2 linked regions of the Saccharomyces cerevisiae S288C genome follow. Each later gene encodes a partner of the first gene's protein in a complex. Each region holds a gene or a part of one and is shown on either strand. Other genes may lie near its edges. A codon is read from its position in the direction of its gene.

The links.
Region 2: the proteins of ULP1 (region 1) and PSE1 are in contact, whole or in part, in a crystal structure (PDB 5H2V), measured with the Saccharomyces cerevisiae proteins. Residues at the interface, in NP_015305.1 of Saccharomyces cerevisiae: Gly51 (codon at 2,500), Ile52 (codon at 2,497), Tyr53 (codon at 2,494), Lys54 (codon at 2,491), Lys55 (codon at 2,488); in NP_014039.1 of Saccharomyces cerevisiae: Asp346 (codon at 3,009), Arg349 (codon at 3,018), Gln350 (codon at 3,021), Asp353 (codon at 3,030), Leu357 (codon at 3,042), Ser392 (codon at 3,147), Ser393 (codon at 3,150), Glu396 (codon at 3,159), Cys429 (codon at 3,258), Asn430 (codon at 3,261), Gly433 (codon at 3,270), Gln434 (codon at 3,273), His470 (codon at 3,381), Ala473 (codon at 3,390), Ala474 (codon at 3,393), Val476 (codon at 3,399), Asn477 (codon at 3,402).

What each region holds. Positions count from the first base shown.
Region 1 is NC_001148.4:511,529-516,145, forward strand, and holds ULP1 (SUMO protease ULP1), read right to left. Parts: upstream 2,651-4,617; coding exon 785-2,650; downstream 1-784. Other genes in the region: ECM23 (Ecm23p), read left to right, coding at 1-136; VTC3 (vacuolar transporter chaperone), read right to left, coding at 2,983-4,617. UniProt on the Saccharomyces cerevisiae protein: Protease that catalyzes two essential functions in the SUMO pathway: processing of full-length SMT3 to its mature form and deconjugation of SMT3 from targeted proteins. Has an essential role in the G2/M phase of the cell cycle.
Region 2 is NC_001145.3:888,452-894,194, reverse strand, and holds PSE1 (importin PSE1), read left to right. Parts: upstream 1-1,973; coding exon 1,974-5,243; downstream 5,244-5,743. Other genes in the region: NIP1 (translation initiation factor eIF3 core subunit c), read left to right, coding at 1-1,207; 1,3-beta-glucanosyltransferase GAS1, read right to left, coding at 5,513-5,743. UniProt on the Saccharomyces cerevisiae protein: Functions in nuclear protein import as nuclear transport receptor. Serves as receptor for classical and arginine/glycine-rich nuclear localization signals (cNLS and rg-NLS) in cargo substrates.

The sequences.
Region 1 (4,617 bases):
GAGAAGTGGACCTAATGGAAATGTTGAGCTATGTAGTCGATGTGGCATAGCATATAGGAAAAAAATGGAGAAAAAAATACGATCGCAACAATCCTCCGATGATGGTACTAAAAATTTTATATTTAAAAATAAATAGTTAAGTAGTTTGTAAAGATGGTATATTCAGCGGATTCTTCCTCTATTTTTATGTTTTTTGAGATATTTCGAGCTTTCTATTTTTTTAAAATGCCTGAATTTCCATCTTCAAAAAAAACATAAAAAAGGTACTTTACCACCAAATAAATGATAACCACAATTTACTTTACTTATCCTCCACTATCAAGTATCTTCCTACCAGGAAAAATGAATTTCAAATGATTCGAAATTTACGGAGGCTCAATATAGAGATAGTGTGACGATGTTCATAAGGGCTTTACCGCTTAGCACGTATCTACAGTTTTCACTCAATAATATATTCTCTAGGAATGATTGCCAATAGATTGATATCCAAGAGAAGGTTCAATTAAGGAATTTCATTTCGTTCTAATCTTTTGTTGAAAATAAAAATTTTTACTTATATGTTAAAGCTTAAGATTCCACATAAGGTCGAAGACAATCGTCACTAATGTGTGGTTCTGCCTGCTCATCTCTAAAATATATTACTTTTTGTACAGACATCTAAATTGAGCTGGTGCTTATGCTATTCTTATGATTTATTTTCAAGTGGTTTATTGAACTTTATTCCATATCCAATGATCTGAATATTTCTACTTATGTATAATAATTGTATATTATAAAAGAATAACTATTTTAAAGCGTCGGTTAAAATCAAATGGGCAATAAATCTTCTCATCCTAATCGCATCTTTATAATCAAAATCCAATGGCGCATCTGCACTTCCATAGAGAGTATTCATACAAACATATATTCCACAGTCGTAGCCATTTGGTTGCTGCGGACAATCTAAATGAATCAAATCAAAGTCTTCTCCTATTGTATGCTTACTTTCCTCCATAACATATTTTTGCAAGTCAGTCAGTATAGCGAAACTCATAGCATTTGGACCATTCGATAATGAATCTACGTAACCTATAGTTTTCTTTTTTAAATCAATTATGCCCAACGCCCAGTGGGATTGGTTCAAATTTATTGGTGTAAAGATTTTATCAAGTTTATCAATTTGTGTCTTCTTTCTCTTCATCCACCTCCGGACGCCTTGATAACCCCTTTCTGATAAATTGGTATAGAAAAATGAATTAAACGCCACTGTATTAGGGGTAGATTTTTCAATGTATTTCATAAAAAACTCAATGATAGTGTCATTTAGCCATCTTCGTGGTGCCAAGGTCTTAAAATCACGTACTGTTATCTCTATATTATCTCTATTCATTAACTGAGTATTTTCTCTAGATGCCAAAGCTTTTTGTACTTGGTCATCGTCTTTTTCATTTAATTCAGGAACAAGTTTCTTCTTGGCCAATTGTTCTTTCTTTTTTTTAAGATCTTCTTGAATCTTCTTTCTTTCATTTAAAATTTCGTTATATCTTTTGAAGTCTTTCTCAAACTCTAATATAGATCTATCAAACTTCAACTTTTGATTTAAGTAATCCTTATGTTTCCTTTCCAAAGAAGATATCTTTTTTTCTTTAACAAATACTAAATCATCATCATTTTCATTTCTTGTCTGTAGTCTGTTCTTGTTGTTCTCAATTAAAATTGTTTTGATCTTTTCAGTTAAGTCGATTATAGACTTTTTTAAGCCAGTGTCTTTTTCCTTATCCATATCCATTAATTTTAACTGTCTTTCTCTTTCTTCTTTTAATATTTTTGGAACTTTATATTCTCCGTTGAATATTTGTCGTAAATATGTTACTTCCTCAGATTGTGCTCTCGACACCAGTTTAGTATTGTTAATGTTCTGTTTTGCAACTTTTTTCTTTCTAATAAAGGCTGTCCCATACTGTCGCCTGTCGTAGCTATTTTTCTGATCAGAAGTGTTATTTTCTGAGTTAGAACCAATAGCACTTGTTTTCCACTTATTCCAACCAAAAGGATCTCTCGAAAAAGTTATGCTATTGTCACTATCACAATTGCTTTTTTGAGAAGCCAAAGAGCTGATTGGTGAGGTTGAAGGTGTCCCCACACCTTCACTTTCGATTCTTCTCCTTTTATTTGGTAAGGCCCACGTCGACGTATCGAATTTGTGTTTTCTTGTATCCGAGGAATAATTTTCACGTAGACCATATGGTACGTCACTGCTCCTACTTCCAGAACTTCTGCTCTCAACGTCGCTGTTACCACTTGCTTCTACTTCAGAACCATCAAAATTGCGAGGTTCGTTTTTCACAAATGTGTGCCATAAGTACTTACCTGAGTTCCAAAGAGTTTCTCTTATGCCTCCTATAAAACCAGCTTTACTAGCTCTATCTGACCCATCTTTCATTGATTCTTCCATTGATAAAACACGGCGGTCGTTTAAATAATTGAATCTTGACGTATTGGTTCTTTTTTTATAAATACCACTAAAACTGGCTGATCTTCTAGACTCGGAGGGATTGTTCAATACCCGAGGATAACACCTATATGTAGAAATTGGGGAGAATAAAGGGGAGTAAGGGTTCTTTTTATGATACTGTAGTGTGTTCCGGTGCTTATCTACTTCAACTGACATTATTATGATATCCAAAGGTCAGAGGAAGAAGAGGAAAAAAACTGAAACAGAAGTAGATATTGATGAATAATTTTAATTAGCAATATAGATTTGCGGAGCTGAAACGAACGTTTCAGCTATTTTTTGATCTGGGTTTAACTATCACACACATCTTCTCATTATGTGCATTTTGAATTTTGAAAATAAAAAGAGGCGGCGCCGGCACCTGCTGAAAGCTGTTTAATATGATTTAATACGGAAGAGCAAATATGTATAAATAGAGAACAATTAATTAATTATGATAGTAACTGGTACTTGTGTAATATATGTGTATATAAAAAATATACATGTTCTTATTCCCCAACCAAATTGAAGATAAAATCTTGAATTGGTTTTAGTGTACGGGGTAACGAAGGCTGGGAGGAAACGTTTACTAATCCTCTTTCCCTCCTAGCGGCCTCTTTAAAAGCCACACTAAAGTTAACAACCAAGGTAACGATTAATACAACTGCAACCAAAATAGGTCCCACAGGTGCATCCAAATGCTTACCACTTCTACCTTTAATAAGAGTTAATCTTTTTAAGTAGGTTCTATAAGCCCATACTCCGCAAAACAAAGTCAAAAAGAAATATACATAGGCCAACAGATCAGCTAGTTGTGGAAATTCGGCTTTTTGCACTGAATTATAGATAGAAAAGGTCAATACACTCAGCAATGTGGTTACACTTAACCATCTATTGAATGTACGTTCATTGGCGAGCCAAACTTTTGCCTCAACTTTGACAGGACCGGCATTTTTCAAAAGGTGAACTGGTTTTTTAACTCCCGGAGGTAATTGGAAAGAAGAGGCACTGTCTGTATCGTCGGAGTATGGATCATTTCCATTTTCTGAAATATTTTTTCCAGCAAGAATTTTCAAGAAAGCTGCATTCGTTTTGAATTTCTTCCCTTTTTTGACTGCAGATTTCTTGGGCAATGCAGTACCTTCTTCATCTGATGATTCGTGATCTTCTAAATCTGCAATAACGTGGCGAGTATTCTGATCTTTTTGCCCTTGTCTTTCAGTGGTCTTTCCATCTGGTACAGAGATTTTGGATAACCTTCTCATATTATCAAGTTTATCATGAATGCTCTTTTGTTTTTGTAAAGTTTTCTTCTCTTCTTCGTAAGCCTCCTGAGGGTTCTTTCTGATGTCGGTTTCTAAATCGGGCAACCAGAATGGCAAAATGTTGACATATTTATCGTCTTCACCAAACAGTGAAGCCACACCTTGCAAGTACAAAGAAAATTTTGGAACTTCGTTAACTAAATGTGAATTAGTTAAATCTTTAATCCACTCATAATTAGGCATTTGAGAATTATCTTGGTTTATAACCTTAATCTCCATTACAGAATAGGGGAACTTCGAATATTCTCCTGCTCTTAAAAACCTCAATGGGTTGGGAATATTGGAATCAATATCGTCACGGTGCCAATTCTCAGGGTTCCTAATGGGCCTATTTTTGTCCAAAGAATCCTCTCTAATGTACATGATATTGGAATCGATAGTGACTCTAATACTTTGATCTCCAGGAATTTGGAAAGCAGTTCTATTATAGGTAGCTCTCAAAACTGGCTGCAACTTCTCCTCAACAATAAAGTTTTGGATGTTATCAAAGTCTCTAGAAAGTTTTTCCAGTTCCTCCTTTTGAGTACCCCTTTCTCTTAGTTGATTAATTAAATAGTTTTTGTAACTGGGATCATTTTTAAAAATAAAATTGTTGATGAATTTGGCTTTCATTTGCAATCTGATTTCTTCAAAACTTGAATTACCAGTTTCGGTATTTTCTGTAAAAGTTCTCTTTTCCAAAAATATGTCAGGTTTGTCTAGCAGTTTACCGATCCATCTTAATCTCAGCGTAGGTGCACCGCTGATTTTCAACAATCTGTTATTGTACAAATCAAAAAAATCGTTGTCGAAATATAATGTAGTGATTGTTGGATCATA
Region 2 (5,743 bases), on another chromosome or scaffold:
TCAATTGTACTTTGAAGCGACTTTGAAAGATGAACACGACCTAGAAAGAGCATTGACACGTCCATTCGTCAAGAGATTGGATCATATCTACTATAAATCCGAAAATTTGATAAAAATTATGGAAACTGCTGCTTGGAATATCATACCTGCTCAATTCAAATCTAAATTTACTTCAAAAGACCAGCTCGATTCTGCTGATTATGTCGACAATTTAATAGACGGATTATCGACAATCTTATCCAAGCAAAACAACATTGCTGTTCAAAAACGTGCTATTTTATACAACATTTACTACACTGCATTAAACAAAGATTTCCAAACTGCTAAAGATATGTTACTAACTTCCCAAGTTCAAACAAATATCAACCAATTCGATTCATCCCTACAAATTTTATTCAACAGGGTTGTTGTTCAATTGGGTCTATCCGCCTTTAAATTATGTTTGATTGAAGAATGTCATCAAATTTTGAATGATCTTCTGTCAAGTTCTCACTTAAGAGAAATTTTGGGCCAACAATCCCTACACAGAATATCTCTCAATTCTAGTAACAATGCTTCAGCTGATGAGCGTGCTAGACAATGTTTGCCATATCACCAACACATCAATCTCGATTTAATCGATGTCGTCTTCTTAACATGTTCCTTATTGATCGAAATTCCAAGAATGACTGCCTTCTATTCCGGTATTAAGGTCAAGAGAATTCCTTACTCTCCAAAATCCATTCGTCGTTCCTTAGAACATTACGACAAGTTAAGTTTCCAAGGTCCACCAGAAACTTTAAGAGATTATGTCTTGTTTGCTGCCAAATCAATGCAAAAAGGTAACTGGAGAGACTCTGTTAAATACTTAAGAGAAATAAAATCTTGGGCTTTATTACCAAACATGGAAACGGTGTTGAATAGTTTAACGGAAAGAGTACAAGTTGAATCTTTGAAGACTTATTTCTTTTCTTTCAAGAGGTTCTATTCAAGTTTTTCTGTTGCTAAACTAGCCGAATTATTTGATCTTCCAGAAAATAAGGTGGTTGAAGTTTTGCAATCTGTTATCGCAGAATTGGAAATCCCAGCCAAATTAAACGACGAGAAGACCATCTTTGTTGTCGAAAAGGGTGATGAAATTACTAAATTGGAAGAAGCAATGGTAAAATTGAACAAAGAATATAAAATCGCTAAAGAACGTCTTAACCCACCATCAAATCGTCGTTGATCAATAAAATCAAAAACTACTTCGAAAGCATTCTTAACAAAAAATCATTGTAGATAGAAGAATAACATCAGCAACCAAAAAATATAGAAGGAAACTAAGCAGGAGAGTATAAACCATATTCACTTTTGCTTTTTATTCTTGATATTGCTCATCTTTTTTTTTTTCGATTCTTTTAGCGATCTCTTTATTTTTAGTTTTAGGGTTTGAATCTAATCGTCTTCACTGTACATTACACATAAGCAAATATATATATAGTTTTTTTTGTTACGTAAACACTCTTTATAATATAATACAAACTATTAAACTTTAAGAAAAGTATGATATGCCGCTTTATTTCTTCATCAAATATAATCTCAAAATATATGGATCATGAGTGTTGATAAATAATCCAATAGCCTATCATGGACTATCTGTTTGACATTCTAAAAAAAAAAATAAATTGTACGAACTGCAGTAAATCGGTATTATCATCATGACGCACGATATCAATTCTTTGCAGAAACTGAAAAATTTTTCATTTTCTACCCAGGAAAAAAAGAAAAATGAAATTCACTAAAAAAATGGGAATACTAATACCAGACGGTCCAATAATCACTATAGTATTATAGACAGCTATAACAGTGATCGAAGTTCGGCGCTCTTCAGATACCGAGTGGCTAATAGACTGAGTAGATCAAAGTGGCAGATAGCCCAAACAAAAGTAATTAGCTTGCAAGCCACTTTATCCTAACGACACGTGATTTCAACCGTAACTAGAGCCATCGCTATGTCTGCTTTACCGGAAGAAGTTAATAGAACATTACTTCAGATTGTCCAGGCGTTTGCTTCCCCTGACAATCAAATACGTTCTGTAGCTGAGAAGGCTCTTAGTGAAGAATGGATTACCGAAAACAATATTGAGTATCTTTTAACTTTTTTGGCTGAACAAGCCGCTTTCTCCCAAGATACAACAGTTGCAGCATTATCTGCTGTTCTGTTTAGAAAATTAGCATTAAAAGCTCCCCCTTCTTCGAAGCTTATGATTATGTCCAAAAATATCACACATATTAGGAAAGAAGTTCTTGCACAAATTCGTTCTTCATTGTTAAAAGGGTTTTTGTCGGAAAGAGCTGATTCAATTAGGCACAAACTATCTGATGCTATTGCTGAGTGTGTTCAAGACGACTTACCAGCATGGCCAGAATTACTACAAGCTTTAATAGAGTCTTTAAAAAGCGGTAACCCAAATTTTAGAGAATCCAGTTTTAGAATTTTGACGACTGTACCTTATTTAATTACCGCTGTTGACATCAACAGTATCTTACCAATTTTTCAATCAGGCTTTACTGATGCAAGTGATAATGTCAAAATTGCTGCAGTTACGGCTTTCGTGGGTTATTTTAAGCAACTACCAAAATCTGAGTGGTCCAAGTTAGGTATTTTATTACCAAGTCTTTTGAATAGTTTACCAAGATTTTTAGATGATGGTAAGGACGATGCCCTTGCATCAGTTTTTGAATCGTTAATTGAGTTGGTGGAATTGGCACCAAAACTATTCAAGGATATGTTTGACCAAATAATACAATTCACTGATATGGTTATAAAAAATAAGGATTTAGAACCTCCAGCAAGAACCACAGCACTCGAACTGCTAACCGTTTTCAGCGAGAACGCTCCCCAAATGTGTAAATCGAACCAGAATTACGGGCAAACTTTAGTGATGGTTACTTTAATCATGATGACGGAGGTATCCATAGATGATGATGATGCAGCAGAATGGATAGAATCTGACGATACCGATGATGAAGAGGAAGTTACATATGACCACGCTCGTCAAGCTCTTGATCGTGTTGCTTTAAAGCTGGGTGGTGAATATTTGGCTGCACCATTGTTCCAATATTTACAGCAAATGATCACATCAACCGAATGGAGAGAAAGATTCGCGGCCATGATGGCACTTTCCTCTGCAGCTGAGGGTTGTGCTGATGTTCTGATCGGCGAGATCCCAAAAATCCTGGATATGGTAATTCCCCTCATCAACGATCCTCATCCAAGAGTACAGTATGGATGTTGTAATGTTTTGGGTCAAATATCTACTGATTTTTCACCATTCATTCAAAGAACTGCACACGATAGAATTTTGCCGGCTTTAATATCTAAACTAACGTCAGAATGCACCTCAAGAGTTCAAACGCACGCCGCAGCGGCTCTGGTTAACTTTTCTGAATTCGCTTCGAAGGATATTCTTGAGCCTTACTTGGATAGTCTATTGACAAATTTATTAGTTTTATTACAAAGCAACAAACTTTACGTACAGGAACAGGCCCTAACAACCATTGCATTTATTGCTGAAGCTGCAAAGAATAAATTTATCAAGTATTACGATACTCTAATGCCATTATTATTAAATGTTTTGAAGGTTAACAATAAAGATAATAGTGTTTTGAAAGGTAAATGTATGGAATGTGCAACTCTGATTGGTTTTGCCGTTGGTAAGGAAAAATTTCATGAGCACTCTCAAGAGCTGATTTCTATATTGGTCGCTTTACAAAACTCAGATATCGATGAAGATGATGCGCTCAGATCATACTTAGAACAAAGTTGGAGCAGGATTTGCCGAATTCTGGGTGATGATTTTGTTCCGTTGTTACCGATTGTTATACCACCCCTGCTAATTACTGCCAAAGCAACGCAAGACGTCGGTTTAATTGAAGAAGAAGAAGCAGCAAATTTCCAACAATATCCAGATTGGGATGTTGTTCAAGTTCAGGGAAAACACATTGCTATTCACACATCCGTCCTTGACGATAAAGTATCAGCAATGGAGCTATTACAAAGCTATGCGACACTTTTAAGAGGCCAATTTGCTGTATATGTTAAAGAAGTAATGGAAGAAATAGCTCTACCATCGCTTGACTTTTACCTACATGACGGTGTTCGTGCTGCAGGAGCAACTTTAATTCCTATTCTATTATCTTGTTTACTTGCAGCCACCGGTACTCAAAACGAGGAATTGGTATTGTTGTGGCATAAAGCTTCGTCTAAACTAATCGGAGGCTTAATGTCAGAACCAATGCCAGAAATCACGCAAGTTTATCACAACTCGTTAGTGAATGGTATTAAAGTCATGGGTGACAATTGCTTAAGCGAAGACCAATTAGCGGCATTTACTAAGGGTGTCTCCGCCAACTTAACTGACACTTACGAAAGGATGCAGGATCGCCATGGTGATGGTGATGAATATAATGAAAATATTGATGAAGAGGAAGACTTTACTGACGAAGATCTTCTCGATGAAATCAACAAGTCTATCGCGGCCGTTTTGAAAACCACAAATGGTCATTATCTAAAGAATTTGGAGAATATATGGCCTATGATAAACACATTCCTTTTAGATAATGAACCAATTTTAGTCATTTTTGCATTAGTAGTGATTGGTGACTTGATTCAATATGGTGGCGAACAAACTGCTAGCATGAAGAACGCATTTATTCCAAAGGTTACCGAGTGCTTGATTTCTCCTGACGCTCGTATTCGCCAAGCTGCTTCTTATATAATCGGTGTTTGTGCCCAATACGCTCCATCTACATATGCTGACGTTTGCATACCGACTTTAGATACACTTGTTCAGATTGTCGATTTTCCAGGCTCCAAACTGGAAGAAAATCGTTCTTCAACAGAGAATGCCAGTGCAGCCATCGCCAAAATTCTTTATGCATACAATTCCAACATTCCTAACGTAGACACGTACACGGCTAATTGGTTCAAAACGTTACCAACAATAACTGACAAAGAAGCTGCCTCATTCAACTATCAATTTTTGAGTCAATTGATTGAAAATAATTCGCCAATTGTGTGTGCTCAATCTAATATCTCCGCTGTAGTTGATTCAGTCATACAAGCCTTGAATGAGAGAAGTTTGACCGAAAGGGAAGGCCAAACGGTGATAAGTTCAGTTAAAAAGTTGTTGGGATTTTTGCCTTCTAGTGATGCTATGGCAATTTTCAATAGATATCCAGCTGATATTATGGAGAAAGTACATAAATGGTTTGCATAAAGACGTTTAATAGAAAGAAGAACAATGTTAAGTAGTTCTATAAGGAATATTAAATGAATATTGTCTTTTTTGATGATTTAAAAACATATAATGTAACAATAGTGTTCTTTTTAATTTACCGGTGGTAATAGCGAATAGAATCTTATAAAACTTACATAGAAAAAAAATATATACTATACTTACAACTTTTCATTTTTTTCGTAAAAACTACCCCACAATGAAATAAGATACCATACCTTATCGAGTTATTATGTATGTGTCGAAGCTTTTTAAACCAAAGCAAAACCGACACCAGCGGCAATGGATAAGGAAATGATGGAGGTAAAGACCACTTGTGCTAAGTTAGCTTTAACGTTGGTGGCAGCATTCTTCTTGCTAGAAGATGAAGATGAAGCTGAAGAAGAAGAAGAAGAACTGGAAGAACCAGAAGAGCCGGAGTTAGACTTGGAAGAAGACCCCGAAGCGTTAGAAGAGGCAGTACTGGATTCAGTTCCGGAACC